2 linked regions of the Rattus norvegicus genome follow. The protein of the gene in region 2 binds, or shares a complex with, the protein of the main gene of each other region. Links are inferred from orthologs where the notes say so. Each region holds a gene or a part of one and is shown on either strand. Other genes may lie near its edges.

The links.
Region 1: the proteins of Brme1 (region 2) and Hsf2bp are in contact, whole or in part, in a crystal structure (PDB 7Z8Z), measured with the Mus musculus proteins. The link is inferred for Rattus norvegicus from reciprocal best matches to the Homo sapiens genes BRME1 and HSF2BP. Residues at the interface, in NP_083321.2 of Mus musculus: Met541, Gln542, Asp543, Ala544, Thr545, Val548, Arg549, Leu551, Val552, Leu555, Ser556, Asn559, Ile562, Met563, Thr565, His566, Leu569, Lys573; in NP_083178.1 of Mus musculus: Glu23, Phe24, Val25, Lys26, Val27, Arg28, Asp31, Leu32, Arg34, Leu35, Glu38, Val39, Gln41, Ile42, Phe45, Leu46, Arg48, Ile49, Glu53, Leu54.

The regions. Positions count from the first base shown.
Region 1 is NC_086038.1:10,111,129-10,127,659, reverse strand, and holds the start of Hsf2bp (heat shock factor 2-binding protein), read left to right. Parts: upstream 1-6,718; coding exon 6,719-6,766; intron 6,767-7,822; coding exon 7,823-7,973; intron 7,974-16,531. Other genes in the region: Rrp1b (ribosomal RNA processing 1B), read right to left, coding at 4,650-4,779. UniProt on the Homo sapiens protein: Meiotic recombination factor component of recombination bridges involved in meiotic double-strand break repair.
Region 2 is NC_086037.1:40,898,327-40,914,333, forward strand, and holds part of Brme1 (break repair meiotic recombinase recruitment factor 1), read right to left. Parts: intron 14,065-16,007; exon of another isoform or gene 13,927-14,064; intron 11,287-13,926; exon of another isoform or gene 11,274-11,286; coding exon 11,169-11,273; exon of another isoform or gene 6,894-11,168; coding exon of another isoform or gene 6,704-6,893; coding exon 6,529-6,703; intron 4,053-6,528; coding exon 3,974-4,052; intron 2,995-3,973; coding exon 2,890-2,994; intron 1,725-2,889; coding exon 579-1,724; intron 1-578. UniProt on the Homo sapiens protein: Meiotic recombination factor component of recombination bridges involved in meiotic double-strand break repair.

The sequences.
Region 1 (16,531 bases), on a different chromosome or scaffold from region 2:
CTCTCCTCCTCTGCCCTTTATTTTGGGATGGTCTTTCTGTGTAGCCCAGGCTGACCTGGAACTTACAATCTTGCCCCAGCCTCCCAAGCTCAAGTCACTAGTGTGACTACCATACTTGTCCAGGAAAAAACTTTTTTTTTTGGGGGGGGGGGAAGGTTTCACCATGTATCTTTGTCTAGCCTGGAACTCACTATGTAGACCAGGCTGCCCTTAAACTCAGCAATATACACCAGCTTCTACTTCCTGAGTGCTGGGGTTGAAAGTGAGTGCCTGGGTGGGGACGAATTTACATGTTCTATGACCTACTTTCTGACAGACAACAGCTCAGATTTAGCTAGCCTAAAAACAATGTCAAGGATATTAAAGGTGTGAAGACACAGGACATACCATTGTTTTGAAATGACAACATCCAATAGCAACCCTCTCCACGGAATGAACACAGGAGCCATTCTGGATGGGGCTGTGCATACTCCAGACATGCACACCTCCCCCCTTTATAACTCTCTGATGGAGAACCCTAATGCCGCCAGCAGCAAAGGCACTTACTTCCACAACAGCTACAATGACTAAGCCACCACCAACCACAAATTCAGTCACCTTCTACGCCACCAAAAGGAGGCTGGGGCTTGGCAGAGAAGGTGCTGGCCACACAAACCTGGTGGCCAGATCTCCAGCTTTTGAACCCCCGTGAAAACCAAAGGAGAGAACTGACTGACATTTCCAAACATGTGGTGTGTTCTATCTCCTCCCACATCATGTGTGTGTGAGCACACACGCAAACTATTACTAATAAAAACAATGACACAAACGGAATTGCCACAGGGTTGATGCTAGGATACACCATAGCTTTATGGTAGGTGTTAAATGTTTAAGGCTGAGAAATGCTAAGACAGGCAGGGACTGCCTGCTTGGCTCACTGCTGTACTCTCTACACCAACAACAGTGTACACAAGAGGACATGGTGCTTTTTGTTTGCTGCATTTATGAAAGGCTATACCAGGACTCATGAGCCACCATGAACTAAAATGCCGAGACTGTTTCTTGACAGCAAAGACCACAGACCTATCTATTTATGCTGCTGACAGACAGTAAGGCAGTAAGTCAACAGTAAGTCTTCAGTGAGACGAAAATGTCAGATTTCCCAACAAGTAAGGTTACAAAACAAACTGAGTTTGTCAAGGAGATGCAAGCTTGTGATTCTATTATGATGGGGCCTTGCAGTGCCAGACACTTTGGTTTTCCTGTCCCATGGTTATTATTTTTAAATGTTTTCTTCTCTTTTCCGTTCTATGTGCATTGGTGTTTGACTGCACGTATGTATGTGTGAGGGTGTTGGGTCTCTTGAAACTGGCAGCTGTGTGTGGTTGCTGGGAATTGAACCCAGGTCTGGAAGAGCAGCCAGTGCTCCTTCTCTGCAGCCCCGTTGGGCCATGATCATTAAGACATTTACCCTGCAGTTTTTACTTATTTGCATGGCACACATGTATAGGTTGGAAGTCGGTGCTAGGTATTTTCTTCCCTAGCTCTCCAGCTAATTTTCTGAGACAGATTATCGTATCAATCTGGCTACCCCAGGATTTACACTGGCTTTCATGAGTAAACGCCTGAACTCAGGTCCTCACGGGTACATGACAAGCATGTTACCGAGGGAGCCATTTTCCTAGCCCCGCAGTTATTTTTCATTTATTTCACGCATACTTATTTCACATGTACACCATGTGTGTCTGTGGTGACTGTAGACTGTTGAGGTTAGAAGACCGTGTCAGAGGCTCTGACACTAGAGTAATGGATGGTTATGAGCCACCACACGGGTGCCAGGAATGGAATGCCAATTCTCTGCAGGAGCGAATGTTCTAACCTGCTGAGCCATCTCTCCAGTCCCTCTACAGTCCACAGTTATTTTATTTTTCTGAAGGCCTACGATATCCCACAAACTGGCCACGATGATGAATAGGGGAAAAAGATAAGTCATCAGGAAGTACCCTGGGGTATTGGGCCTGTTCTCTTTTTTTTTGGGACGGGGGTGGGGGGGCTGTTCTCAAAGGGTTCTGAGAAGCATGCTCTCAGGCTGTCTCCAGTCCAGGTGTACTGTACTTTGCTTTTGTCTCCTGAAGGCTCTCCTAAGGCTCCATATTTTCACCTATGGCTTAGAGGACAAAGGGAAGCTTACAGTGCCTGTGGGGGAAAGGATACAAACCACAGAGTTCATACAAACAAAGCTATCTGCACATAGCTGAGGACAAGGTCATCCGTTCTCAGTATAGCTAGTAGAGACCACTCCTGGCTCTGGGAAATCCTTTCTCAGAACAAATAGCTTTTCCTTCCCTCTGTATCTAAGCACTATCAGAGGGGCACAGATTTTATAATTTTAGGGGTGACAGGGTGGTGGGAGAGATCATAAAGGAGGATTTCTCTCAGAAGTGATACTGCTAGGGCAAAATTCTTTGTAGAACAAGCCTGAATGCAAGGGGGGAGGAGGCAAGAAGAGTGTGAGTGGTGTGCTCAGCCACAGGGGTTTAACGGACTACTGAGGAATTAGAAGAGCAGGTGAGGACACCAGGTCTGTCAGACTGTGGCCTTCAAGGGAAGCAGTGGGAAGATGAGATTTGCTTTAAGAAAATGACCTGGGCTGTTTGTGGAGGGCAGACTAAAGAGGCACAATGGAAGCCTGGGGCAAATGCCTTTAACCCCAGCACTCAGGAGACAGAGGGAGGTGGACCTCTGAGAGTTTGAGGCCAGCTTGGTCTCCAGAACAACCAGAGCTATAACACTGAGAAATCCTGTCTCAAAAAACCAAAACCAAACAAACCAGGCAATGGGGGCTCACAACTTTAAGCCCAGCACTTGGCAGGCAATCTGAGTTCGAGGCCAGCCTGGTCTAGAGAGTGAGTTCCAGGAAAGCCAGGGATACAGAGAGACCCTGTCTGGGGTCGGGTCGGGGCGGCGGCGGCGGGGGGTGGGGGGGACCCAAGTAAACAAAAGGCACAACAGAGTTAAGGGAACGGATGGACCAGAAATCTAGGTAAAATAAAGGAACTTCTGGTTAAGGCAGAGTAATTCAAGTTAACTGAGAAGGACAGAAGGATAGTGTGTGTGTGTGTGTGTGTGTGTGTGTGTGTGTGTGTGTGTATGTAAGATGGTGGTGAGAAAATGTGGGAAGAATGAGCAGCTGAGGAGGAGGAGCAGCAGGAGAGAACAGGTGTTTGGAGGGAGGAGCAGATGCCATTGTTGGTACTGAGGCACTCATGGGACAGCCAGGTGGAGTACCAGGCTAGTGACACTAATCTGAGCGGAGGATAGCCAAGGTCCACCTGGGCCAGTAAGTTAGGTTTAGGGACCACCAGCACACGTATATAGGAAAATTGACAATATGAGAGGAAACTGAATTTCTGGGGCAATCCTTAACAGGGCTGGGGTGGGGGTGGGGATGGGAAATGCAGCTGCCAAGGCGGCTCAGCTCGGTAAACCTCACTACCTAAATCTGACCTCTGGATTCCACAGTGGAAACATAACTTTTGGAACTTAAAAACTTGGGGTTGGGGATTTGGCTCAGTGGTAGAGCGCTTACCTAGGAAGCGCAAGGTCCTGGGCTCGGTCCCCAGCCCCAGAAAAAAAAAAAAAACTTTTAGTTTTTATCAGACGTCTCAAAAAGTCTCCTTTCTTGGCAATAAGGTCTTGCTTGCTCTGTGACCCTGGCTGCCCTTAGCCTCACGATGCTGGAATTAATGGTATGTACTGCCACCTGGGACTGATTTCAATCAAAAACCATTTAAAAAAAAAGATTTAGTTTAGGTATGAGTAAGTAGGTAGTTTAGTGGGAGGTTTGCCTGCTTCTATGTTTATGCACCACGTGCATGCCTGGTGTTGGTAGAGGTCAGAGGGGGTGACTCCTTTCCAGGAAAAGGGTTCTGAGCTGCCATGTGGGTACTGGGACTTGAACGGCTGAGCAATCTCTCAGGCCCCCCAGACTTCAATTTTAATCAGATTTAGCAACCCGTAACTCAAACTTTAGCCAACTGGCTGCAACCTGAAACCTTCACAGTATGCTGCAGTCTAGACTTTGCGAATTCATTCAGGAGTTAACAGAATCTATTCTGGGTCACTTAAAATAAATCTTTGCAATGCATTCCACGGCAGTTAAAATCCAACCTCCCCTCCCTTTCCCCAAAGCCAGCGAAGTGACCACATTGCCCCCAGGTTCAATTTTATCTCAACACGCCCTGCGCGCCAACTTACAGATAGATTTCTCTGGCTCAGGGCACACTTAGCGTTCTTGCGTCTGCCTGCCTGGCTTCCTCCTGTCAAAATCTCAACAGAGCACAGGTGGCTTCCTTTAGAAGGACTTTCTCCTGCACTTTTCCACGCTACTGATATACATTCCCGCATTCACACGTGCTCCACTACACTGCCATCAGTTCTACCACCACACTGCCAGAGTTCTTCTCAGGGCTAACTCTCTAACGCACCCCAGCGCCTACAGGTACTATCCATGGAACACAAACAAGAAACACAAACGAGCCTCGGCGAACTGGGCCAGCGGTGAGCTGGGACTAGCGGTCAGGAGCTCTGCCGCACAGCCCGTAGCAGCCGCACCCGTGCCCACTGGCGCGACCCTCGCCGCGCGCAGCGGCGCGGACCCAGGCCCGCACCTGTGTCGCTCTGCGTCCTTGCGCTGAGATACTGCCGCAGTTTCCTCACGGCGCGGTCGCGGACGCCCTTCTCACTGGAGGCCAGCCGCTGTGCGAACTGGAGCTCGGTAGACTGCATGGCGGGAGCCATCGCACCCGCTTCAGCATCCCCGGGCTGCGCGCGTGCGGCTAGCCGCCGAGCGATCTGGATTGCGCCTGCGCAGGCGCCGCGGCGCGTGGGTGATGGCGTCACCGGTGCGCCGCTTGCCGCGCGCCCAGGGAGTCCGCGTGGCCCCTGTGCGAGTAGATACGTAGCCCCGCTACTGAAGTATATCCTGTGGGTGGTCCAAGTTCTGGGCGGGTAGTTAGGGTCAGATCTCCTCCGGCAGGACGACTACGGCTAACCTGATGCAGTTCTAGAGTCTAACCACAGCTAACAAAGGTCTGTCAGGGAAGCGGCGGTCCTGCCACCTCCATTCACCCGGTGTCTGTGAACTCCGCGGGCTTCCCTGAGCAGACTTGAGACCCAGAAGGAAGGCCATTATCCTGGCATCCCGAGGCTTACAACAGCACAGGGACAACTTCCACTCTCCCACCCTTCAGCGCCCCGTTCCCCTCAGGACAGTGCCTTGAGTCTTGATGCAGGCACGCAGCATTATAGAGGGAATGGGCCCTCTTCCAATGTGCTGGGACGAGTGCAGAGGGGGCGAGGAGACCCTTGCAGCGTTCTAGGACAGGTTCGGGATTTGGAGAAGAGAGAGAAACCCGTCCCTGAAGCAACAAGGGCACTTACAGAGGTGCGGTGTAGTGAACAATCCGTTCCTGCAGCGAGCAAGCCTCCCTGTCGCATCTTGGGACGGGTGCAAACTTGTTGAATGGGGAGTCAGCAAACCCATACCCACAACGACTGGGTCAGACGCAGGGATGTCCATTGGAGAGGGAAAAATTTTGAGGGTCTAACAGGGAGGGAGCTTGGCTCTGTCTTTAAGACCTCTTGCATTCAAAACACACAGTTCTGAGCAGTAGGTAGTGAGTATTGCTACAGTGAAACACCAGGATCAAAAAGCAAGCTGGGGAGGACTCCCATTTCCGTATTACTGTTCACCATGAAAGGAAGCCAGGACCAGATCTCAAACAGGACCTCAAAGAAGACAGGAACCTGGAGGCGGGAGCTGATGCAGAAGCCATGGAGGGATGTTGCTTACGGCCTTGCTCTTTGGTCAGCCTGCTTTCTTATAGAACCCAGGACCACCAGCCCAGGGCTGACTCTACCTACAACAGGTGGGGTCCTTCCCCATCAATCATTAACTAAGAAAATGCCTTACAGGTCTGCCTACAATCTGATTTTATAGAGACTTTTTTTTTTTTTTATTGAGATTCCCTCCTCTCATGGCTTTAACTTGTGTCAAGTTGACAAAACCAGAACGAGCAGGGAACACACTAAACCAATATGAAAGAAGTCTTTTAACAGTTATGCTTACTTTAGGGACATCCAAAACTCTAGGTCATCAAACATTTGAGAATTATTAGATTAGTATATTCTTCCAAGCTTTAGTTATTTCATTTTGAACCCCGCTCCCCCACCCATGTAGCCCAGGCTAGATTTCCCTTGCTGTGTAGCAAGTTGGTCTTGAACTCCAGCGTCCACCACCCAAGTGCTGGGACATAGGCATGTACCACTACATCTAGTTTCAAACCTCAGTTACCTAGCTAAAATAACTCTTCTGTGCATGCGAAAATGCATCCCTTAACACAGAAGCACTTGGCCAAGGGACGACGAGGTTCTCCCTGTGCGGTTTTTCAGTTTGTAGGTTTGGTTCTAGCATCCTCTCCGTAAACAGGGAAGGACGGATTCTGTTTGACACTCAGGCCTCATTTTGCAGGTCACAAGTCTGAAACACTGAAGGAGAAGAGCCGCAGTAGAGTCTGGTTCCTTCTCATCCCTGGGTCCAGGGGCCGAGAGTGAAGCGCAAATTTGGCGAGATTTGAACCTCGCGGCTTTCCGTATGGTCGGGCATCTTCAGATTCCCGCACTTTTTTTGCGCGTGTTAGAGAGCTCTGCGCAGGCGCACAAAGCTGAGGCCTTGGCTATGGCTGCGATCGTGGGCGAGCGTTCCGGTACTGAGGAGGCCTGCCGGGTCAGTGTGTGCCCCACATATGGGAGCTACTGGTGTTTACTTCCCTCAGGGTGACTCCTGTGCCTGAGAAGATGTCCCTGTAGCCTTGAAGGGGCCAGGCCGGGAGCCGCGCAAGGGTGGGCCAGACCAGAGACACGAGGCGCGGTTCCAAGTCATCTGTGGAGGCCTTCAAGTTAAAAAGTGGTAGCTCAGGTTTTAGGCTGTGAGGCTCTGGGGAACCAGAGCCGTGCACTTATCTGGGTTCTGCCTCTGGTGTCCCTTCACGAGAGGGCCTGGTTGACGCCTACTTCCAGTGGGACGCCATTGTATAGTAGCATGAATGTTTGGGGACAGCAGAGGCCAAAAGCAGCCGCAGGGATCCCATCCTGGAGGAGTTCAGTTTGGGGCACATTAACTTGCGGGCATTTTCTTTGGCTTTTAGAAATGTATATTTGGTTTTTCCTCTTAAGTGTTTCCATTCCCTCTTCCGCTATATTCGTTCTTACTGAATCAGAATTTTGGTGTGTTGCTCAGGCTGGTCTCCCAACGCTTGGGCAAAGCCATATTTCGGCCTCAGTCTCTTGAGAAGCTAGGACTATGGGTGTGGATTACCACCCTCATCCACCGCCGGCAAGGCTCTCTGTATATAAAGCCCACGTATACACAAACACACTCACGAATACACATCTATATCCATATATGTGTAACAGAAGGGACATCAGATGCCAGGGGTGGTGGAAGAGGCCTGTAATCCAGAACTAGGGAGGCAGAGGCAGGCCCACTGCCTAGTCTGCAGAATTCCAGAACAGCCAGGGCTACACAGTGAGACCCGCCCTCTCAAAAAGCAAATCAAAGCTCCAGTGCGCGCGCGCTTTGGAACACACACACACACACACACACACACACACACACACACACACAGACACACACACAGACACACACGAACATGATGTAAACACATTTGTGAGGCAGTTATGAATGTAAGAGTCTGGAAAGAAAAGGAAAGTTGATTTGGGTTGCTAGTTCTAGTCATCTGAAGAGAAATGCTACAATGCTAAGACCTGCTTGTTCCTTTAGCACATGGAATCTAAGGAAGAATTCGTTAAAGTCAGAAAGAAGGACCTGGAGCGGCTGACGACGGAAGTGATGCAAATCCGGGACTTCTTACCCAGAATACTAAATGGGGAGTTACTGGAAAGCTTCCAGAAGTTGAAGATTGTAGAAAAAAGTGAGTTTTCCCTCATGTGTGCCCTCTTGTCTTTAGGTGGGTAGGGGGCGCCAGCTTTCAGTGTTGAGCTAAGTCCAGGATTGCTAGGACTTGTCTATCCAGATGTTTGACATTTGAACAATGTATCAAATACCAGTCGGGACCCTGTTATTATTATTATTTTTTTGGGGGGGGGGAGGTACTTGGAGCTTGCAAAAGCACTTTCCCAATTGGGACTGGACTGCAATCCAATCAGCTTTTCGGTGGGTAAGGCTAATTTCTCAAGTCACATCGGACCGCCAGCCCTCATAGTGTGCGCCCCAGAGGCCCAAGTAATGTCTTGAGCTGTAAGTCCAAATAAGGAAGTGTCTTATTTTTCCCCAGTAATTTATTTATTCACTTTACGTCCCGATTGCAGCCCCTCCCCCACACCAGTGTGGTGTCGTCCTGTCATCCCGAAGGTGTCCTCAGCTGCCCCCACCTCCTTCCCCACCAAGAAAGTGTCTTGACTGAGGAATGTAGGTTTCCGAGCCAGTCTCGATGGTGCCCGTGCCTGTAATCCAGTACTTAGGTGGTGGAGGTATAAGGACCGGGAGTTCAGGATCATTTTCCCCTATGTACCAAGTTCAAGCCTCACCTGAGAGCTGTGAAACAGGCAGCACAGTGATCTCAGAAGGGGAGGACAATCAGGCCACATAAGTTGTAAGCTAGAAGGGATCGGAATGTGGGTTTCTAGTTTGTACACGTGTACTTTGCCAGTTAGCCAGCCCTATTCAGTTAGAAGGGTGAAGCAGTTAGAAGTTTGTGAGACTCCAGTTCCAGGGCATCCATTATCCTCACACAGACACGCCTACAGGCAAAATGCCAATGTGTGTGAACTTAAAAATTAAAAAAAAAGAAAGGAGTAAACGGTTAATGGTTACACGGAGCCCTGTCCTATTCTGTCAGGAGTTTTCTCAGCCATTAACTTCTGCCTTGTACTGTATTCTGGGAGGTAGACCCCCTACAGACTAGAATTGGAAGGCCTCTCTGAGCAAAGAGAGAGGGACTGGGTGGGAGGGGTGCTGGCCTGCCCTCTGCCCCTCTTGTTACTCCGGTGTTTGGGTGGCATTGCTCCACAAGTGCCCTCCCAGTGGCCTCCTCCACAGTCTACCTCTTACTGGGCTTCAATAACACACTCTCCCTTTGAGAGGGCCATCACCATTCCCTGGCTATGTCACTATCTTCGTGGGGGGCCTTACTCCTCCTGTCGCCGGTTATTGACTTTCTAACCACTTCATTCTGATCTCATGCTCAGCTGGCAAGTTTTGAGAGCAATTAGCGTCAGTGCATTTATTTCCAGAAAAGGAAAATGCTGCCTGGTAACAGAGTGCATTAGCCTGCTGGCTGATTGTTTCACTGTAAAGCCACGAACCGGTGGTCTGCGAAAACGTATCAGGATCTCATTTGTCAGAGATTAGACGCCAGTCTCCTTCCCAGGGCAGGCTAGAGGCCACACATGAATCTGGTAACTTGATAAAGTCAGACTGTAGGGGCTGTTCACTTGAGGTTCGTGGCCTTCCCGGGCTGTGTGTCCCTTCCCCATCTATCTCTGCGATGTCCTCTTGGTCACCTTTGCCTATTCACCTTTCTCAAGACTAGCAGTTCTCATCCTTCCTAACGCTGCGACCCTTTGACACAGTTCCTCATGTCGTGGTGACCCCCAAACTTAAAATAGTTTCGTTGCCACTTCATAACTATGATTTTGCTGCTGTTATGGATCGTAATGCAAATACCTTTGTTTTCTGATCGTCTTAGGTGACCCCTGTGAAAGGGTCTTTTGATCCCCAGCCCTCAAGAGGTTGTGACCCACAGGTTGAAAACTGCTACTCAGAAGCCCTTAGACAGTGCAGGTGCCCGAGGCCCAGCCTAGTCCTTCCTATTTCATCGTAGCCTCCCCAAGGCAGTCTCGTGCACACAGACAGCCTTAGTCCTTTTGATGTGAGTGGCTGCTGGACGTATCTCTGTAGCCAGCATCCGCCTTTCCCTGACTCCCACTTGGCATCTTTTCTCACTTGATCATTTGGACTCTAAGTGCCCATGCTAAGCTTATCAGGGACAGGTGTGTGTCTGACTAGATCAGGTTTACGTCTCTCTGAGGCGTGCATGACCACAGGTACAGAGGAATGGGAGGCACTTCACCGGGCCCTGGGGACAGGCTTGGACTTAGGCGGTGTGGGAATGAAGCAGTGTTTTATGTTGGAGATGGCTTCCTATATCCTGGGATAACCTCGAATTCTCTGTGCAGCCCAGGCTGGCCTCAAACAGTAGACATTCCTGCTTCAGCCCCCTAAGTCCTTAAGCGCTGTTTCGACGGCTCAGAGCAAGGTGGAGCTTTGTGTAAAGAGGCAACTAGAGGCTGAGTGCGAAGCGGACCCGGGTCTTGTTTGCTCATAAACAGTGATGCTCAAATAAATGTAGAACACTGTGTAGACGGACCTTGCCCACTGTGTGGACGGACCTTGCCCGCACCTTTGAGGCTATCGGGAAGCCAGGCTGTGTTTGTGTGTCACTCTTCAGGCCAGGTCAGGTTTCTCCTTCTGAAAGTGGGGGAGCGGGCTGGAGAGATGGCTCAGAGGGTAAGAGCACTGACTGCTCTTCCAGAGGTCCTGAGTTCAATTCCCAGCAACCACATGGTGGCTCACAACCATCTGTGATGGGATCTGATGCCCTCTTCTGGTGTGTCTGAAGACAGCTATGGTGTACTCATATACATAAAATAAATAAAAGATCTTTTGAAAGTGGGGGAGCTTTGGAAAGGAATTCGATGACTGCGAAGTGACATCGTGACACGTTCCCATTAATGGGAGACATAACGTTTCCTGTTTACTTGGCAGCTGGCTCTATCTGGGCCTGCTACTGTAGCCCGACAAGTGGCAGGGCACCCTTCCACTTAGCAAGATCATTTTTACTTTCTTCTGCCTGACTCCTACTGATTCCCTTCTGCTGCTTCTCCCTGGCCTGCCTTGGAGCTGTACCGCCAGTGAGCTCGGGAGATGCTTTCTGACTTTATCAGCCTGTCGTCATCTCTGCTGTTTTGGTGGGGCCCTTGTGCCTGCCTCCTCTAGGCCGTGTCTACTGTCCCCAGCCTGGTCATCTTTGCCTGATTCTATCATTCTACCACTGGAGCGAAGCTGTTACAATAGCTGCTCCTTGTCCGTAGGACAAAGGGCAGCTAGCAAACGGTGAAGCCTTTGTACTGACGGGTAAGCCTTGCCTAGAGTAGCTCTGACTACCCAGACACGAGCCCTGTTTAGGCATTAGGCACACCTCGTGTCCTTTGCTTCCTGGGAGGTCACTGTAAACTTTCAACTTAGGCCCTCCCTGACTACCTCCGCTTTTCTGGGCAAGGCAAGGTTGAAGAGATGGCCTTCTACAGCGCCTTTATCTACTTTTTGCTCTTGAATTCTCTCTCTCTCTCTCTCTCTCTCTCTCTCTCTCTCTCTTTTTTTTTTTTTTTTGTGACAGGGTCTCACTTGGTAGCCCTGCCTGTCCTGGGATTCTCTATGTAGATCAGGCTGGCCTTTCACTCACAGAGATCCCCCTGCCTCTGCCTCCCAAGGGCCCGAGTGGGTGAGCTAGGTATCAGATAGCATGCCGAACTTGATTCTGAGCTAGCATGAGACCTGCCTCTGAGAAGCTGGGCAGGTAAGCAGTGCCTTGTCTAAGTGTCTTTTAAAGAGGCAACACTGAGGAAAAGGCACACTTTCTTTTTTTTTTTTAAGTATTATTATGATTTTATATGTCTGAGTATGTAGCCTGAATGCATGTATGTGTGCCATGCCTGAGGAACTTAGAAGGGCGTGTCGGATCCTCTGTTACTAGACTTACTGACAGTTGTGAACTGCTATATAGGTGCTGGGAATTGAACCCAGGTCCTCCGAAAGAGCTGCTCTCTATCCCCCGCAGAGCACTGTTTATTTTAAGGAGGAGAAGGAAAGACACGTGACAGTCACAAAGGGAGTAAGTAAGGATGGTCGTTTGGATTTGTCAGGTGGCTTTCCTGCTTGCGCAGGACTTGTGGCCAGCAGAAGAAAGGCAGTAAAGGTGGGATGTTCACGGCGGACGGGAGGGGATTGGCTGAGGTCAGAGGAGCTTGGAACCCCTAACTGGAGTGATCCTAAAATACAGATCAAGTGGTGTGTATTGGGGGATGGTTTGAATCTGAGGATCCAGAAGAGTTAGAAGGGTTGGTGGGATGGAGAGTATCCCTCAGGGCAACTGCTAGGCTCCACTGGACTTGCTCTGACTGGATGGGTGGGTTCATGAGATGATGGTGAAGGGAAGGATTGTAGGTCAGGATCGGCCATGGTAGAAGTGTGGAGAGGCAGGACATCTGTGACATCTGTGTCCTCCATGTTGGCTAGCATCTCATTGTGTTTTCTGGAACTATAAAGCACTCATCTAAGAGCATTAGAGCACTTGCCTGGCTACATACTGGGCCCCGAGTAAGGTCCTAGGACTCTGTTACTCCCCCCAACCCCCAAGTCTCCAAGGATGTGGCAGGTTTGAGATGACTTAATCATTCTGAATGGTTTGTATGGTACCTGCATTGTAGAATCTTGGAGGAAGTGTTTTTGGAGAGAGCATTCTGGCAGATCCACAGCCCAGCAGCGTCAGTTGTGGCTCAGATGCTATCACACAGTGAACTTGGGAGAGCCTTGACTTGAAGTTTACCAAGTTGGAAAGTGTGTAAATATGAAATACTCCCGTGGACATTGTCAGTGCTCTTCAGTGCTGGGCAGTGCAGGAAGGGAGGAGTCCTGCACGGTTGTTGATCGTGTTGAGGTCTCAGTTGAGACAGGGAGAGGAAGAGCACTGTGGGGCTTTCAGTTATCATCCAAGACCAGCCAGCTAATAGGACAGAGACTGCGACCGAGCCCTTCAGTTTTCTGTAATTATAGTGAGGACGGTAAAGGATTTGCTGCTGGCAGCCGAGTCCTGGGCAGAGCCAGCTTCAAGAAGCAGAGCCTTAAGAGGTTAAGGAGCTTGTTTGGCTGAAGAATGGTCCTCCTCAGTCAGGGAAGGCTGTCCTCTTCAACTGGGTGTTTGGGAAGGGAAGCACAAGGAATGGTGAGGAAGGAGCCTGTCTACCCGGCCTGATAACCCTGTGGAGGCTGGAGTGAAATACCAAGTCCAGATTGTCCTTATATCCCAGAGTCTTGTGACTTGAAAGGGGACAGGATGATCGGGAATTTTAGATTCTGCTAGAACATCTTGTGAGCTTGAGGATCTTGGTCCATGGGGGCCCTCTAGTGGTTACTTGAAAGACAAGTACACCAGATAGTTATAATCTTGGGGCACAATAGGGGTAAAAAAAGACAGAGACAGTGAAAGGGGAGGTGTGTCACAGATGCCACACAACTATAAAAGGCCACCAGAATCCCAAGGGGGTTGGCTGGGGGGAAGCCAAGGCAGCTTTATGAAGGAGTAGACTTAGGGGACAGTTAAAATGCATCCTAGAATTAGTTTATTCAAGAGAAGGAACAGCATTTGGTACGGTAGGCAAATGGATTTCAGTTCAGCATGTTGGGAAATGCAGGTCGTGCAGTGTACAGTCTGCACACTGTAGAAATGAGTTGACTAGACTTAAGCAGTGTTCACCAGGTAAACGAATGTGGTCGTCCTCTGTGGGTCACTGGATTATTCTATGTACCGGAGATACTTAACAGCTCCTCTGGAATAGTGGTCCAGAGCTGGTTCTGAGCCCTTGAGCTTCTGCAACGGCTTGTTTCTGGGAAACTTGTAGGATGCAGAATCATTCTGGAGGTGTCTGTTTGCTGTGGAAAACTATGTCAGTAAAAGTGCCTCACGAAGGGCTGACAGTCTGCACTTGATCTTAGCCAAAAGGCCGAGAAGCGATAGGGCTGACAGTCTGATGAAACCCTGGCAAGTTGCAGAGTATCTGTCAAGAATTTCCCTGAAAAGGTACCTTCAAGTACAGTCCCCAGGTCCTCAGAACGGGACTTTGGAAAAAGGTTTTCACAGGGGTAAAATGAGGCCTGATGGGCTCTAGTCCAGTATGACATTCTTGTCAGGAAAGTTTTAATCGTGGTCACAGTGAGGTCTGTGTGAAGATAGGGGGAGGCCAGTGAGGGGAGAGACCGTGAAGAACAGGCCATGTAGGGTCTGCCAAAGTGTTTCTTAATCCAGGGAATGTTTGGCAGAAAGAGGCAAGGAACAGGTTTGCCTGTCAAGGTTTCACCCCGCGTTTGGCCCTGCTAACCCCTGGCCTGTGAGGCATACGTTCCATGTGCTGGGAATGTATACACGGCCCAAATCTCAGCTCAAAGTGAAGATGGAGCTTGTCAGCACTGCACTCTTTTCTCTTGATGCTTCCAGAGTGCTGGGAAGGAAAAGGCTAATGGTTATTTAAAAGTATCTGGGTTTTCAGACAGCTGTTGTGGTAAAAACTATTTCACATTTATGGAAAACAACTGATGACGTGTTGTAGACATGCCAGGTAACGGGGGAAGAAAAACCAGACCCCAGTGTGAGCTGCTTTCCAGAAGCCCTGCCTCTCACCAGCAGCTCCTGTCCCTCTTCCTAAGTAGGCTGAATGTGGAGATACTCATTCTCATGGTATCAACACCATCAAAACTACATCTGGTGTCACATGCCATGCCAGCTACATAGCTGGGAGCTGTAGCAGAGGGGTGGGTGTTGACATTGAGCTCTGCCAGGACTACAGAGTAAATTTAAGTCCACCCTGGGTAACTTCAAAAATGAAAAAAGAGGGCTGTGGAGACAGCTTAGTGACAGAGGGCTTGCCAAGCATTCTCGAGACCTTCCGTTCAATCCATAGGGCTATCAAAACCACCACCACCAAAACCCATCAAACCTATCGGACTATGGGGGTACACACCTATTATCCCAGCCCTGAGAAGACCGACTCAGCTGGATTCTGGAAAATACGGTGAGACTGTGATCTAACCCCCCAAACAAAGCCAGAGCTATATAAAGATCCTCATTCCAGAGTACTGCTGTTGAAATAGTCTGTGGCATAGATGGCTTCCCAGTATCCTAGCCTGTCTAGTGCGCCGCCTTCTATCCAGTTAGGTGTCTAGAGATTCTCTTGGTTTGAGTTCTAAAAGCAGTGGAGGCAGCTAGGTTGGGTGACAGACACCCTGTGACAGAGTTCGTGTAAGATGTTTCCATTCTGTGTATCAGCCATTGCATTGTTTATATTATTTCTGTTTGTAGATTTAAAAATTTATAAAGGCAATATGTTTTTGTTTCCTTATGTATTGTTTTTATGACTGTTTTAGAGATTCTGTGTAGATCAGGTTGGCCTGGAACTCAGAGAGATCTGCTTTCTGCACTACCACTCCTGGCCAAAGGCAGTTTATTTCCCCCATCCCCGACCCCCAGACAGGGGTTCTTTGTATAGTTCTGACTGCCCTGGAACTCGATCTGTAGACCAGGCCAGGCTTGATCTCCAAGATCAGCCTGCCTTTGCCTCTTGAGTGCACCACCACCTCCTGACTTTAAAGCCCCATGTTCTTAAGGGAGATCTTCTGTTTTAACTAAAGCTGTATTTGTCTGTCCAGGCAGAAAGGTGAAGAATGTATAAAGAAGTGACACTCGTGTGAAAATATTTAGGGAGTGTCTACAACATTCCACACACTTTCCTAAGCACTTGGGGTGCAGCATGAAACAAACCATGATAATCTCCGGTCCTGGTGGTGGTGGTGGTTGGTTGCAAGCAGTGGTCCCGTTGGGCCACTAGGGGGTGCTCTGACACTGCTGATAGGACCGCTGTAGGGCTGGACAGTCTCCTGAGCACTGTGGCCTGGAATTTCCTGAGGTTCCATGTCCTGACCCGGGCCTCGCTGAGCCTGTTGCTTTGATCTGAAAACCTGCAGCACGCTCACAGAAAGCTACACAGAGAGGAACTTATATAACGGAAGTGGCGGCTGGTTTTACATGACAAGATTTGTAGACATTTAGTTACCCCCTTCTTGTCTATGTTCGAGTAGCAAAGTTTAATAACAGAACCCGACTTTCAGAGTTGGTTACCAGGAGCAAACATCGACACTGCTGGTAGTTCTATTGTTTAGTTCCTGTCTGGCTATGGTCTGTATTTCATAGCTCACATGTGCTTATAATGTAATATGGGTATGTGTAGGTGTCATTCAACACGGTTACATGTATTCAACAGTGTTATTTTAAAGCTAGAGGTCCACTGCTCTTTGGTTGCATGGGTGGTCAGGGTTAGTGGGACAAGGGAGAGTTCATACGGTATGACAGACCTGAAAAGTCAGGGAGGAGAGCTCTGACGGAGGGAGAATAAATAGCCAGCCCAGCTTGCATGCTTCTAGGAAATGTGAACGGGCTCTTGCCAGCCAGTTTCATAATCTCCAACTTGTTGTTGACCTTTGGGTTCTAATCTTCCTTCTTGGACAGGGTCTCAAGGAAATGTAGACGCTTTCCTTGTTCTTTCTCCAGAATGCTTGGGATGCCAAGTGGCTGTAGGCAGTCCCTGGGGTTTTTGTGTAAATGTCCCTTTGCCTTTTCAGACCTCTGGAGCACCAAGCCTG
Region 2 (16,007 bases):
CTAAGACAAATCACACTGTGCTATACCTCAGGTCCACTGTCCTGGGAAGTATAGTCCAGCAGTTCCCCAACAAGGATGGAAAAGTGTGTTTTTCCTTCGTCCTTTTGGTGCCAGGACGGAACCCAGGGTCTTAAAGCACGGTTGCCTATTTCTTGGATTGAACACTAGGTAAAATTCTTTGCTTGCATTGAGGGGTTCTGTCTAATGAAAAGCTTCCCTCAAGGGGAATAACCTTTGAAATGTAAGTAAAGAAATATATCTAATAAAAATTTAAAAAAAGAAAAGCTCCCCTCAAAGAGTCAAAATGGACTAATAGGTATCTCAACGGCAGGTTGTGGCGCAGTGTGAAATTTTGGCTCTTTGGGAGAATGCTCTCGTAGCCACCCAGCTCCCTATCCCAAGGCAGAGCAGCTTTAGACTCCGGGAGGCATAGGTGCACCAGGCTCTACCTTGCCCAAAGCTGCTGTGATCCCCCCACCCCCCTCCTTAGACACCTATGTTGTGTAAACAGTGTCAGACACATTAGCCCCATCTTGCTACCTAATGGTGCCAGGGTGCGCTGAGTACAGAGCTCTTACCTGCTCCATGTTGGTGGCATCCAGGGCATCCTGTATCTGGCTGTCAGGCAGGAAGTCTAGTTCCATTGCAGAGGACTCCTGCCATGCAGCCTGGTCTCTGAGACTGGGAGCTGGCTGCTGCTTCCCTGCTGGGTGTACAGGAATGTCTGGGCTGCTGTGACAGGCCTTGGAGCTCTGGGGAGGGTCACTAGCTAGACAAGTGTGCTCTAGCTGAGAGGGGGTATGAGGGTACAGACTGAGGCCCTCCAAGTCTTGATCATAAGTTAGGCCACTTAACTCCACCACCTTTTCATCCATGGGCTGTGCTGGTAAAGGCAGCATTCCTATATCCCCTGGCAGCTGTCCATCAGAGCCAGGGTCCTTGGTCTTGACGGCAGGACCCATTTCCTGGGCTATATGGCTGGAATCTCCAGCTTCCACCATGGGCTCTTGTTTCACAGGTACTGCAGTCTCAGTGATGTTTGCCAGGGTCTCATCACCAGGGGACTTCTCTTTCCATCTGGTCTCCTTGCTGCCTGCTGGGGTCTCCTCAGCAAGAGTCCCACTGCAGCCTCCATCAGGGATCTGCCCATCTGGAGAGCCCAGCAGGCTGCCCACCTCTAGTGCACTGTGTTGCAGCACAGAGAGATCTAAGCTCACTTCTGTAATGACGCTGTCCATAAGAGAGGCACCCGCTGGGCTACCGAAGCTGGGTGCTGCAGCTGTGCTGTGAAGAATGTGTGTGGGGACAGAGAGGTCTTGAGCCACAGACCAGGTCTCTAGGCATGGTATGGTAGGATCTGAGGCAGGAACTAATGCTGAAGTGTAGAGGATGTCTTCTCCTTCCTGGGGTTCCCCAGAATGCTGGGCCTCTGCTTCCCCTCCTTGGGTACCTCCTTCCTGTGGGGTGCTGCTATCTGCCTCCCTGCCTTCAGCAGCAGCAGCCGACAGGGTTCTTCCCTGGCTACTACTGTCTTGAACTGTGGCCATCTCAAAACCATTGTTCTCCAAGCTTCCAGTATCTAGTGAGCTGGTCCTCTCCTTTGAGAGGGTACCATCTGGCTGTGTCTGGTCTTCTGGTCTTCTGGCATCATGGAGAGGGAACCTCAGGGACTCTCTCTGTGGTTGGCTGGCTGCTTCTAGGGCACCTAGCTCTGGCGTTGTTTCCTGTGGAAATAGAAGATTCAGCCCTGGACGTAGATAAGCAAGCACTCTGAAGAACATTTCCAGTTGAGGACCCTGTCCTCAAGATCAGATAGTTGTACCCACCACTGGGTACCACAGGGCTGTGGAAGCTGCTTTAGGCAGAGCTTTGTGCTAAGGCAGGAGGACAGGAGGTACACACACCCCTCCTTTTATGGGAACCTCCCTGCCAGCACCAAGCACTCAGAATCTCAGAGTATAACATTCCAGGTGGTAGGCTGTGGGGTGACTCCATAATAGGACATTTGCCTAGCTGCACAAGGTCCTGAGTTCTATACCCACGCCAGAGTCAGTGAAGGGTTAAAGGCTCTGCTACCCAATGGTACACCTCATCAGCTTACTGTGTTATCTTTGTTGTGTAAGTATGTATGTGCGCATGCTGGTACACACACATATGTGCCATGGTGTACATATGGAAGTCAGAGGACAACTTGTGGGAGTCTCTCCTCCTAGGAGAGTCCTCAGATTGTCAGATCTGGTGACATGTGCCTTTACCAGCTAATCCATCTTGCCAGCTGCTTGTCCACTTACAGACGTACCAGAGCCAGTGAGATGGCTCGATGGTATAGGTGGCACTTTGTCAAGCCTAATGGCCTGAGTTTGATCCTTGGAATCCAGCTGATGAAGAGAACAGACTACACAGAGTTGCTTTCTTCCACATGCACAACACACACACACACGTTTTATTTTATGTGTATGATACAGAGATTTTCCCTGCACCGCTGTATGTGCACCACTTTCATATCTGGTGCCCTGGAGGTCAAAGAGGGCATCATGTCCTCTGGAACCAGAGTTACAGATCATTGTGAGCTATCATGCAGGTGCTGGGAATTGAATCTAGATTCTCTGGAAAAGCAGCCAGTGCTTTTAACTGGTGAACCATCTTTCCAGCCCTCATATTTTTTTACACGGCTCCTGACTTGCACAGAAGCCCCAAGAAGCAGAGGAGGCTCTGGGAGCAGGCCTTCCTTTCTGAACTGACTATTTCCATGCAAACTGCATGTCACGGTGCCCTCAGTGACCTTAGATGTGATGGTTGACAAGTAGTACCCCCCAGACAGATAGCTGGAGAACTCCAGGAAGACCAAGGTCGATCAGCAGGAGCAGCCAACCTAGGGAAGGCTCTTACCTGGCTTGTGGTGCAGCTCTCTGGATCCTCTTCCCATGCCTTGGTTTTTCTAGTTACTGTCTTCCTTGGTTTGGCAAACTGAGGGACAAACCTCCCCACTGAGCTCTGTAAAAGGGACATAAGAACAAAGCAATGATATGAAAGGACAGGGTCTCAGAAAGACCAGCCTAGGGATGGCACTTCCCTGCCTGCTAGGAAGCATTTCCCTCTCGGGTACAGACCAAACTGGCCCTTACTTTGGCTTTTTCTTCAGACTAGGTCTATCTATGTAGCTCTGGCTGTCTTGGAGCTCACTATGTAGACCAGGCTGCCTCTACCTCCTGAATGCTGGGACTAAAGGTATGTGTCACCATGCTCAGCTCTTGCTTACTTTAAGGTTTCCCACCACCCCTGGATTTCTGGTTTTGAAATGAGATTTCATATAGCTTAGGCTGGCCTTGATCTTGATGTATAGCTGAAGTTGACTTTGAATTCCTTCTACTTCTGGTCCTCCTATACTCACCTCTGAAGTACTAGAATTACAGGTAAGGTAACATCATACCTGTTTTATGCAGCCTTGGGGTTAGACCCAGGTCTTCATTGCATGTTAGGGCGAGCATTCCACCAACTGAGCTACATCCCAACTGTACATCCCTTACCTACATCTCCAACCTTACCCTGTTTCATTCATTCATTCACTATTGATTGATTGATTGGTTGATTGATTGGGTTTTTTTGAGACAAAGTTTTCTCTGTGTAGCCCTACAGAACTAGCAGTTCTGTAGACCAGGTTGTCCTCGAACTCACAGAGATCCTCTTGCCTCTCTTCTTGCTGAGTGCAGAGATTAAAGATATATACCCCCACCGCCTAGCTCCTTACCCTGTTTCTTGAGACAAGGTCTTACTCTGTAGCCCAGACTAGTCTAGAATTCACTGTTTAGTCAAGGCTGGCCTTGAACTCAGAGGTTCACCTGCCTCTGTTTCTCAAATTCTTGTAGGCTCACAGACAACTGTTATCTTTACTCCTGCATGTCTCTGCGGCCCTGTGGGCAATAAGGTGCTGCTGGCCATGAACAGGATATAGAACTTAAAACAGGAGGCTCACCTGGGAAGGAGGCAGGGGGACCAGCTCTTTTGGTGATCCTGGGAGGTCAGAGGCAGCTCCTGTGTCCTCCACTGGGCAGCTGAGTGGAAAGAAGCAGAGAAGGACTGAAGTCCTTCCAGATATCATTTACATAGCAAGACAGAGGGTGGTCAGGGGTGCAGCTCCAGGAGGGGAGGAACATAGTATGTGAGGCTCTGAGCTCTATCCCCAACACGCACGCATACACACACACACAGACACACATGTGCACACACACACAGACACACACATAGGGGCGCACACACACATGTGCACACACACACAGACACACACACACACAGACACACACACACACACACACACGTGTACCACAGCACACCCATGCATACCTTCTCTCTCTCACACTCAAAGGATAAAGAGGGATAAGAACCTAGATGAAAAGTGACTCTGAATCTTCAAGGGAGGCCCTGAGAGTCCTTTCACATCAATTCCTTGTTCTCTCCCATGGGGCTGAGGATAGAACCCAGGGCCTGGCACCTGCTTGGCAAGTGCTTTACCACTAGGCTCCAGATTACCTGCTTTGAAAGGGTGAGATTTACAAAGACACAAGATCAATATACAAAGCACAATATTAACAATTAAAAAAAAATCTGAGAAGACAGCTCAGCGGGTAAAAGCCCTTGTCAGACATGTGTAAGGCCTGAATAAACACTGGGGGAGAGGTGCAGCCACCTGTAATCCCAGCACCCCTATGAGGAGATGTAAGGAGGAAAAGGCAGGAGAACCCCTGAAAGCTTGTGAGCAGCTGGTCTGTGCATAACCTGCCTCAAGCAAGCAAAGTAGGACCAACAGACACCCTAGGTTATGTCTCTGACCTCCTTTCACATCCATACACACTAAAAAAGAAGGGAAGGAAAGGAGGGAGGGAGGAAAAAGAAAGAAAATCTTAACCAGGCATGGTGGTGTGCACTTCTAACCCCAATACGAAGAAAGCAGAGGCAGGTAGATCTCTGTGAGTTCAAAGCCTACCTAGTCTACACAGCAAGTTCCAGGCCAGCCAGGGTTATGTTGTAAGACCGTGTCTCAGAAGGAATGAAGGTGCGGGGTAGTCCAGGAGAACTGTCATGCTCAACAGTTCCCATTCAGAACTCTATCCCGCCCTGCAGTTGCACACTGCAGTCATTTGGGTGGCTCTGGACACTGACAAGCTTCCCCCCACATTGTAAGTTATGTTTTATATTGACTTTCTTTTCTGTGACTGTTGCTGTATATAGGTATTTCTTAGGGAAATATGTATTTTAAAAAATAGCTCGGGGTTGGGGATTTAGCTCAGCAGTAGAGCGCTTCCCTAGGAAGCGCAAGGCCCTGGGTTCGGTCCCCAGCTCCGGAAAAAAAAAAAAAACTCAAAATAGGTAGAATCTGGGCTGGAAGAGATGGCTCAGTGGTTAAGAGCACCGACTGCTCTTCCAGAGGTCCTAAGTTCAAATCCCAGCAACCACATGGTGTCTCGCAACCATCTGTAATGGGATCCGATGCCCTCTTCTGGTGTGTCTGAAGACAGCTACATGCACTCATACATAATAAATAAATAAATCTTTAAAAATAAAAAAGGATAGGTAGAATCCTTCTCCCAACTCCTCTGGTCTTTGTAGACTGGGAGGCCACACAGCAGTGCCATCCCTACTGGCCTAGAAGTGAGTAGAGGATTGCATTTCTGTGCTTTTCTGGGAGGAAGGCTTAGGTGACATGTGGCTTACACAAGTCTGAGGAACCAATATTTGTGGCTTCATGGGTGCCACTGTTAGCAAGATTGTTGTGATGTGAAATCAGACAGACACACATGCAGAGCAGCTGTGGGGAGTGAGCACATGCCTCGGTACCTATAATTCAGTAAATGTGATCACCTAGGCCACAATATCTTCCCCAAAGATGTCAGCTACCAGTCATTTTGTTTCTCCTAGTTCACTTTCCTTCCTTCCTTCCTTTTGGTGATAAGGTCTCACTATGTAACACAGCTGGCCTCAGACTAACAGATATCTATCTGCCTCAGCTTCCCAGGGGATTAAAGGCATATGTCATTATGACTGGCCTGATTTTCTTATACATGTGTGTACATATGTGTGCACACATGCATGTAGAATCCAAAGGACAACCTAAGGTGTCATCCTCAAAACATCTTGAGACAGTTTCTCACTGGCCTGGAGCTCATCAATTAGGCTGGACTGCTGGCACTGAGCCTCAGGGACCCAGCTGTCCTAGCCCCAGCCTTGGAATTACAGGAGCACACCACACCACCACTGAGACTTTTCCCATGGGCAACTTAGGTCTTTGCACAAGTTCCTTACCACCTGAACTATCTTCCCAACTTCTTCCAGTAGTGTGGTTGAGACTGAGATGGAATTGATGTTATCTGTGACCTTTCTCCAGTGAAAAGAACCATGAGATAAAGACCTGAGCCAAGGCCCCAGAAAGGGTTGCAGTGGTGGCTGGTCATCTCGGACCACTTGTCGTTCCCTTGGGCTTGCTGTGAATGACTGAAGAGGGACGAGCCTGCTGGAGAGTTCTGAGCTACCTACCTGGAAGCTGCCGGTTGTGGTTCCTCCCCAGCTGGCTCTACAGAAGGAGCAGGTTCTGAGCTGTCTTCTGACTCTCTGGAGTGGTGTGAATGGACCGTCATGGACCTCTGGGGGCTTCCACGGGGGTCTCTCAGCCGTGGGTTCTTAGAAGGCTTTGAGGGATGGAGGCTGCCCCCTGGTTTAGAGAGGGAAGTAAGGGGCAGGGACTCAAGCAGGCTTAGCATAGCTGTCAGCATAGCAGAACAGGACCACAGCTGGACTAGGTGAGTGGGTCTATGATGAGGGCAAGAAGGCCAGTTCTGATGCTTACCGTGGTGGGAAGATGGGAGAGAGCCCCACTCAAGATGCAGGGCCCATTTCCTCATATGGCCATACAATTAGATTTTTTTTTTCTTTTCTGTTAAGATGGGCTCTTACCCTGTAGCCCAGAGTGGCTATGAACTTTCCATCCTGCTGCCTCAGCCTCCAAAATACAAGGACAGGTGACCTGCATTTTGGAAGCTAATTGAAGGACTTTGTATGAACATAGTATAATTTTTTAGGGGGTCACTCAGCTTATTGTTTGAGACAGAGATTCTCACTGGGCCCTGAAATTTTATCAAGAAGGCTAGGCTGGCTAAATGCCAGCAACCCAGGAAATGTTCTGTCTCTGCCTCCCCAGTGTTGGGATTCCAAGTGTGCCAGCTCCTGTGTGCTTCAGCAACAGAGCCAGTGCCCTGGCTTGATCCATAGTTTGGCTATGACTGAGATAGAATAGGTTGTATTTTTTTTATTTTACTTTATGTGAATGGGTATTTCATCTACATGCATATCTGTGTTCAAGTGTGGAACCTGAAGGGGCCAGAAGAGAACATCTTCTGGAATTACAGACACTTGTGAACCATATGTGGGAAATGGAGATTGAACCCAGGTCCTCTGGAAGAACAGAGAATCCTCCAGTCCTGAGATTGAATCTTGAAGCAGTTTAACTCCAAGCCACATGGGACAAGTGGGACCAAGCCATCTTTCCCCTGGGAGACGTATGGCAGCTGGAGCCATAGACGAGGTCCCCATGAGCCTCTACTTCTTATCATGGCTTTCCTTTTCACATGACAGTGGTTCTGCTAGTTTCTGAGGCATTAGTCATCTCCCTTCTCCCTACAACTGAGCTGCATGTGAAGAGAGTTTGTTCTTTTGTGTCTTCCTCTGTTTTGATAGAGGAATGTACAGAACCGCTCTGATGTTCAGTGATCCAAAGTGATAACGAAACACACAGAAGCCCACCGGTGTGGTGGTGCACGCCTTCAGTTCCAGCACCTGGGAAACTGAAGTAGAGAGATTTCAAGTATGAGACTAGCCTGGATTACATGAGATCCTGTTTTAAAAAACTAAGCTTTTAGAACATATCCTCATCAGGCATAGACAATGAAACCTGGAGTCCACAAGCTGCCCTAGACAACTGCAGAGTATATCTTAGAAAAAGTAGGACCAAAGGTATAGGAGGCCTCTTGGTCTCTTATGTCTTGTCAGCTCTTCCCTGTCACTCAGTGAAACAGGAGTTGTCCTTACTGTCCTTGGCAGCCTAAAACTACTTATGAAATATTTTCTTCCTTCCCTTTAAGGAGTGATCCCCTTGCCTCACCCTTTCAAAGTAGCTATGATTACAGGCATATGCCACCACACCCAGTATTATGTGTGTCATGTGTAGACATAAATACAATTCTCCCTGCCAGTACTGGAGAATGAATGTATAGGACATCACACAACTAGGTGTGTTTGTGTACACACACACACACACACACACACACACACACACACACTCGCCTTTTGCCCCCAGCTCAGTATTGAAGGTTGAATGCAGGGCCTCACATAGGTTAGGTAAGCAAGAGTCTACCAAGGAGCTACTTCTGTTTACATTCTTGAGGTAGGGTCTTACAGTTGCCTAGGCTGACTTTGCACTCTCTCTATAGCCCAGGCAAGATTTAGCTCACAGTCTCTTTCTTTATAGAGTGTAGGCCTGTGCCACCAGCCCTGGCTTGAATATCCATTTTCTGAAGGAAGGATACTCACTTGCACAGATGCCATCAATCATGGCTGGGCTCTCAGACCCAGCCCCATTCTAAGCCTGTGTTCAGTGAACACAGCAAATGCACATTCCAATAAGTTACACACACACTCCTAAGATCTGGTGTGTTATGAAGAGACTTAGAGGCGAAGTGCTTCCATTATGCCATCCTTCCTCATGTCCTCAGAAAAGGTCAGGTTCTGTAGCCCAGGCTGGCCCTGATCTGGTAACTCTTTTTACTTCAGTTTGCCAAGTACAGGGATGATGAGGACACCATCACATACAACCTGTGGTGACATTTTCCAGGCAAGAAAGCTGTGGCTAAGCAACCAAGAACAAGATCTGGTTCAATTCCAGAGCCTACACATTCAAGAGTCCTTTACACATTCATAGAGTACCTACTGTATCTTGGGCTTCTTCCAGACAAGTAGAACAAAATAGAAAAACAATACACAATACAAATGTAAGAGCCAGGGATGGTGGCATCCATCTGTGACCCAGCTCTGGAGGGCTGGAGAAAGGCAAATCCCTGGAGCACGACGGCCCAACTGGTGACCTCTGGGGCAGTGAGAGAGACCCTGACTCAGAAAATAAAGTGGAGAGTGACTGAGGAAGACACCTGACATTGCTCTGGCCTCTGTATACATAGTCACCCATAAATGACATGTACTATACCTACATGCACGTATGCATAGGCACACCCATAATGCACATGCACTATACCTACATGCATGTATGCATAGGCACACCCATAATGCACATGCACCATACCTACATGCATGTATGCATAGGCACACCCATAATGCACATGCACCATACCTACATGCATGTATGCATAGGCACACCCATAATGCACATGCACCATACCTACATGCATGTATGCATAGGCACACCCATAATGCACATGCACTATACCTACCTACATGCATGTATGCATAGGCACACCCATAATGCACATGCACTATACCTACCTACATGCATGTATGCATAGGCACACCCATAATGCATATGCACTATACCTACCTACATGCATGTATGCATAGGCACACCCATAATGCACATGCACTATACCTGCATGCACAGACATGAACACAGAACCACACAACAGTGCTAGGATGGAACTAAAGACCCTGACATGTTAAAGTGTTCTGTTGCTAAGCTATGTCCCAGTCCTCCAGTTCTTTCTTTTCTGCTCCTCTGGTGCTGTGCACTTGTTGAGCTGTCTCATAACATACGTTGACCTCACTAAGATCCTGCAGGTGTCCAGTGCTCCTGGGTCTCCATCTTCTGCTCACACTGATGCCAGGCCCCCCTCCCATAGGTGCCTGCTCTAAACAGCACTGTGGCCCAGGACGTTCTTGAGGATGTCTATGCTTCTGCCTCTCACTCTGCCACAAAAGACAAAATAATAGCCTTGCTCGGTCGGTTGCCTGAGATTGATTCAATGGACATTTGTACCAAAGCATCGACAGCCGTCGACAGTACTTTCTATGACCTGTCCCTCACAGGACTGATTCAAATCAAGTAAGGCAGAACCTCATGTTCCACACCAAAAACTGGAGATGCAGGAAGCAAAGGGCCACCTTCTTCCTACTTGTCCGACCCATCGGGGGAGGGGGGGACACACAGAAAAAGGTCCCTAGGGATGCAGTCCAAGGCCAAGAGAGGTGACCTGCCATGGTCCTCATGCCATGATCCCAGCTGTCCTCAGTTTTTTCCTTGAAAGTCAGAGAAATCTCTGTGCCTCCAAGTGACCTGGGCCCTCTGCATAAAACAAGTATGAGCTGTTAATCACTTTTGTCTCACCGAGGGAAAAATGAGTACAATTCTTAATTCCTCCCTCATGGCCAGGGGTGGTGACATACCAGAGGTAAGCGAGGCCTGCAGAGTCTGTATATAGAGGACCAGTGAGCTACACAGTAAGATCTTGTCTCAGAAAGAAAGAAAGAAAGAAAGAAAGAAAGAAAGAAAGAAAGAAAGAAAGAAAGAAAGGAAGGAAGAATGAATGAATGAATGTATGTTTAGCCACCCCCCAAGGAAAGACAGTGCTTTCTTTTTTTTTTTTTTTTTCGGAGCTGGGGACCGAACCCAGGGCCTTGCGCTTCCTAGGTAAGCGCTCTACCACTGAGCTAAATCCCCAGCCCCAAGACAGTGCTTTTAAGTTTCAGATACCTTACCTTAGTAACAGGGAAGCTGCAGTACTTCATGGAAGACTGGATGTTTCAAAGCCACTGCGATCAACAGGCCTATAATTCTAGTACAAGCGCTCATATAGACTACACTACATAAATAGTAGTAGTAGTAGTAGTAATAGTAATAATAATAATAACAACAATAATAATAATAATAAACAGACAAACCAACCAACCTACAAAAAACATAGGATGAGGAGATAGAACGCTTCTGCTCTTTTCCAAGAGGTGCCTGGGTTGGGTTTTCAGCACCCATGTCAGCTGCCTGTAATTCCAACTCCAGGGAATTCCTCCTCCTCCTCTGGTGTGTGCATGCTTTAAGTGTTTGTTTTTTACCTGGGAAGTTTTATTTTCTTTCTTTGGGGGATGGTAGAACCTGGCAGCTAATCTGGCCAGAAACTCACTATGTAGCTCAGGATGGTCTTGAACTTCTGATCCTTCTGCCTCCAGGTCCCCAGCGCTGAGGTTACAGCTGTCCGTTACCCCTTCTGGTTTATGTGGTACTGGAGCTAGAACATAGAGCTTCATGTATGTTACACAAGCATTCTACTAACTGAGCTGTGTTTATTATTCAAATGAAGAAAAAGGTTTCTTTTTTTATTTGCTACCAGGGCCTTTCTTACACATACCAGACAAATGTCCCACCACTCAGCTACACTCGTGGGTTCTCAAGGGAAGAAATTTTACATTGTTTGTTAATAAGCAGAGCCCATTGTGGGGACTTAAAAACTTAAAAACAATTAAAGCATGTGGTGGTGGTACAATCCTTTAATCCCAGCACTCGAGAGGCAGAGGCAGGTAGATCTCTGAGTTCTAAGCCAGCCTGGTCTACAGAGCAAGTTCCAGGACAGCCATGGCTACACAGTGAAATTTTGATTCAAAAACCAAAAACCAACCATCCAACAATGACCATAGCAACAACAAAACAACCCAGAATTGGTAAGTCAGCATGTGTGGTATAAGGTGCTTGTATTCAGTAAAAACACAGAGGTTGGGGTTGGGGATTTAGCTCAGTAGTAGAGCGCTTGCCTAGCAAGCGCAAAGCCCTGGGTTCGGTGCCCAGCTCCGAAAAAAAAGAAAAAAACAAAAAACAAAAACAACAACAACAAGAACAAAAAAAACCACAGGGGTTGGGGAGATGACTGTCAGCAAATGTAAGGACTTGAGTTTAGATACCCAGTACCCACATAAAAGCCAAGCTAATCACGTCTCTGTCTATAACTCCAGTTTTCAGAGGTGGATAGAGATGAAAACAGCTGTACTGAACTGAGAAACTACAGGTTCAGTGAGAGACCCTGTCTCAAAAGTAAAGTGGAGAGCTATTGAGAAAGACACTTGATGCTGCCATCTGGCCTCAATATGAATATCCGCTAAGACATTCACATATACGCACACGCACACGCACATGGGAAGGAGGTTTGGGTGGGAGAACCCCTGCTCCCCCCAGGATTTGAGTGTGCAGACTTTTCTGAAGCTGTGGGTTCCTCATTTTCAGGTTTGACCAACCAGAGATGGAGAAAAACTACACCTATATTAACCATGTAGAGACATTTCCTGGCCACCTCCCCAAGTAATACAGTAATTTACATATCATTTATATCCTGCTCAGTACTCTTAGTCATTCAGGGATTGAGTTACTCGTAGATGCTGCGCAAACACTCCAGTGTTCTATTCTATGTAAGGCACTTGGGCATCGTGTAGTCTGTTACGGGTAGGAGTCCTGAGTGAGACCAGCTATACACAGCAGAGGATTAAAGTAGCACTATAATGAGGTTGGTTTCCTGTTCTTAATAGTTTGACCACTGTTCTTATATTCTGTTAGATACTAACACTAGGGGAAGCTAGAGAAGAAAAGATAGGGTTCCTTAAACTATTTCTGAGACTTATCAGTAACCCCCAAATTATTTCAAAATGAAGTTTGGCTTTTTCAACTGTGTGATCCACGCTGGCCTCAAATTGCTTCAGACTCCCAAGCACTGCCAGCACAAGTGACATAATGGTTTTTTAAGTCTAAAAGGACAAGGAGCTTGAGCCTTCTGCAGCTGAGCCATACCCCCAGCACCCTGTTCATTCCAGCACTGCAAACAAGTGAGCTTGCTGGACTGTCCAGGGAGGCGAGCGATGCATAGCTATTCCCGTGGGGACACTGTGGCTGGGGTACTGTGCTCTCAGGGCTGTCCTGGGAAAGGTAAATTTGGAGCAGTGGCCATGGCTGCCACTTACTAGATGCCAGCAGCATCTTCCCTCATATCCTTCCCCCAGTGTGAAAATAAAAAATGTCTACAAACATTACCAACTATCCCCAAAGGATCTAGCTAGATTCCCCCTCCCAGCTGAGCAAGAACCAAGATTCTAAAGGTGGCCTGCTTGTCCCAGGGCTGGATTTACCCCTGCACTTAAAAAAGAAAAAGCTTAGTTTTTAAATAAATGTAATAATTTTATTTTATGCTGGGTGGTGGTGGCTCATGCCTTTAATCCCAGCACTCAGGAGGCAGATGCGGGCAGATCTTTGTGAGTTTGAGGGCCAGCCTGGTTTACAGTTACAGAGTGAGTTCCAGGACAGTGAGGGCTATACAGAGAAATCCTGTCTCAAAAAAATTACATTTATTTATTTGTATATTAGGGAGGCACATGTGGGAGTCAGTTCTGTTCTTTTACCATGTAGGTTCTGGGATCAAACACAGTTAGAATGGCTTGGAGGCAAGCATCTTGAGTCACTGAATTATCCCAATTAAAGTTTAAAAAAAATATATATGGTGCACATGTATGGAGGGCAGAGGCCTTCTTTGGGTGTTGTGGTGGTTTGAATGAGAATGGCCACCACTGGCTCATTTATTTGAATGCTTGGTCCCTAGTTGACAGAACTGTTTTGAGAAGGAGGTGTGTCCTTATTGGGGGTTTCAAAAGCCCACGTCAGGCCTAGTCTCTATCTCTCTGTCTCTGTCCCCTCCTCCCTGCCACCTTCCCTAGACCTGCTGCCTATGGATAAGATGTAAGCTCTTGGCTACTGCTCTGATGCCTGACTGTTGCTGTGTTCCCCACCATGATGGCCATGGACTCACTCTGAAACTGTAAGCAAGCCCCTATTACATGCTTCCTAAGCTTTGGTCATGGCGACTTCTCACAGCAATAGAACAGTAAGACGATTCTTTCTCCACTCACCTGAGCTTGCCAAGTAAGCTGGGCTGGACGACAGTCAAGTTCCAAGGATCTACCCATCTTTGCTCCTCCACCACAGTGCTGAGATTACAAGCATGTGTCACCACACCTAGCTTTTATACAAACTGTGGGGACCGAACTCATGTCTTCATGGTCACAAGGTTACTTTACTCCTCATTCCCTAAAAAGTGAGTTTTATTGTCTGGCGTAAAATACGTTAATATTTTATATTCTGGCATAAATGTTATAGCACTTAATTATGGCAAATCCATTTTTTTTTTTTTTGGTTCTTTTTTTCGGAGCTGGGGACCGAACCCAGGGCCTTGCGCTTCCTAGGCAAGCGCTCTACCACTGGCAAATCCCCAACCCCCGGCAAATCCATTTTTTAATGTGTGACCAATTATTAACTATAATAGAAGACACGAGAAAGGTACGAACAACTCAAAATCTCCACATCCTAGCCACTCGGGCATCAAGGTCCCACTGGATCTTTGCTAAACCAGCTGATGTGAGGAATGGTGGCCTCTCATGGGAGTGGGAGGAGACAGAGCCTGGGCTCCCTAAACTCACTCAGAATCCAGAGAAAGGAACAGGGGAGGTGTTCAAGTTCCGGGACCTGGGGTGGGGGTGGGGGTGGGGGCTGGCAATGGGAAAACCACAGTACAACCAAGAAATGGCAGACTCCAAGTCTTTAGGGGTTTTTTTTGTTTGCTTTTTTTGTTTGTTTGTTTGTTTGTTTCTTTTTTTCCGGAGCTGGGGACCGAACCCAGGGCCTTGCGCTTCCTAGGCAAGCGCTCTACCACTGAGCTAAATCCCCAACCCCCCAAGTCTTTAGTTTTAAGGGGGAAAAATGCATCTTTCTCCCACAACCACATACAATATACCAAACAAAAAAACTTGGGCACAGAAATGTTACCCATATATACACACACGTGATAACTTAGGACATCAGGGACTGGAAGCGTCCCCTTCCTTATGATAGGATGCAGAGGTGGTAGCTGCTTGCTGGCACTCTGGGCAGGTGGGTCCCATAGACAGTAGTGGATTTTATTATTATTAAGTAGGGCAAGGTCAGCAGGTCATGAGATGGCTACCCTTGGAGACACTCTGTCAGTCATAGTTCACATCAGCACAGAGCTACAGTGACATCCACGAACACAGGGTCAGTCAGAAGACCAAAGGGTGCCTTTATCTGGCTTTTATGCTAGGGGTAAATCACAATGGTAGAGCACTTGCCTCAGAGCATAAGGCCCTAGCTTCATCTCCAGTACCGAAAAACGTAAAATAAACCAAGGTAGGTACATTTGCTGTCACTCATTTACTTAATTGGAAAATGGGGTACAGACTTATCCATAGTTACAGTGAACAGAGACTAAAACCACATTTTTGGGATCTAGATCAGAAACAGTCACATACCAGATGATCTAGTATTAGTCCTCTGCAGGAATGATCTCTGAGGTGGTTACATTTCTGCCCTGAAACCTTAAGTGGGGAAAAAACCTCTTGATCCCCTAGCCTTGAAACCAGAGGCTAGGGGAAATACTAGAAAGTTTTTTTTTTGTTTGTTTTTTTAACTATAATCTTTTCCATAATTTCTGTTATTCTTATTAGCTTGTACTAAGGTTTCACTATCTTTGAAGGTGCTTAAGACTGTTGTATTAGTGCTTTGGTGAGAAGCAGCAATTAAGTGCTATGGAGAGCTGGGTGTGGTGGTGGTATTGTGGTCTCAGCTACTTAGACAGCTAAGGTAGGAGAGTCACCTGAGCCCAGGAGGAATTCAGGGTCAGTCTGAGCAAGACAGTTTATGGGAGGGAGTTCATGTATACAGGCCAGAACACAATGCCCTGTGTCCTCCTTCAGGAGCCTTCCACCTTAGTTAGTGTGTGTGTGTGTGTGTGTGTGTGTGTGTGTGTGTGTGTGTGTTCACCTGCATCTGTATGCCAGTGCTCTTGCCTGAGCATAAGTGAGTACATGGAGTCAGAGGTCACTAGTAGGCATCTTCCTTTATCTGTATCTTCTAAAAAAGGTTAATTTTATTTGCATGAGTGTTTTGCTTGCATGTATGTGTTTGCATCTGCCCATTA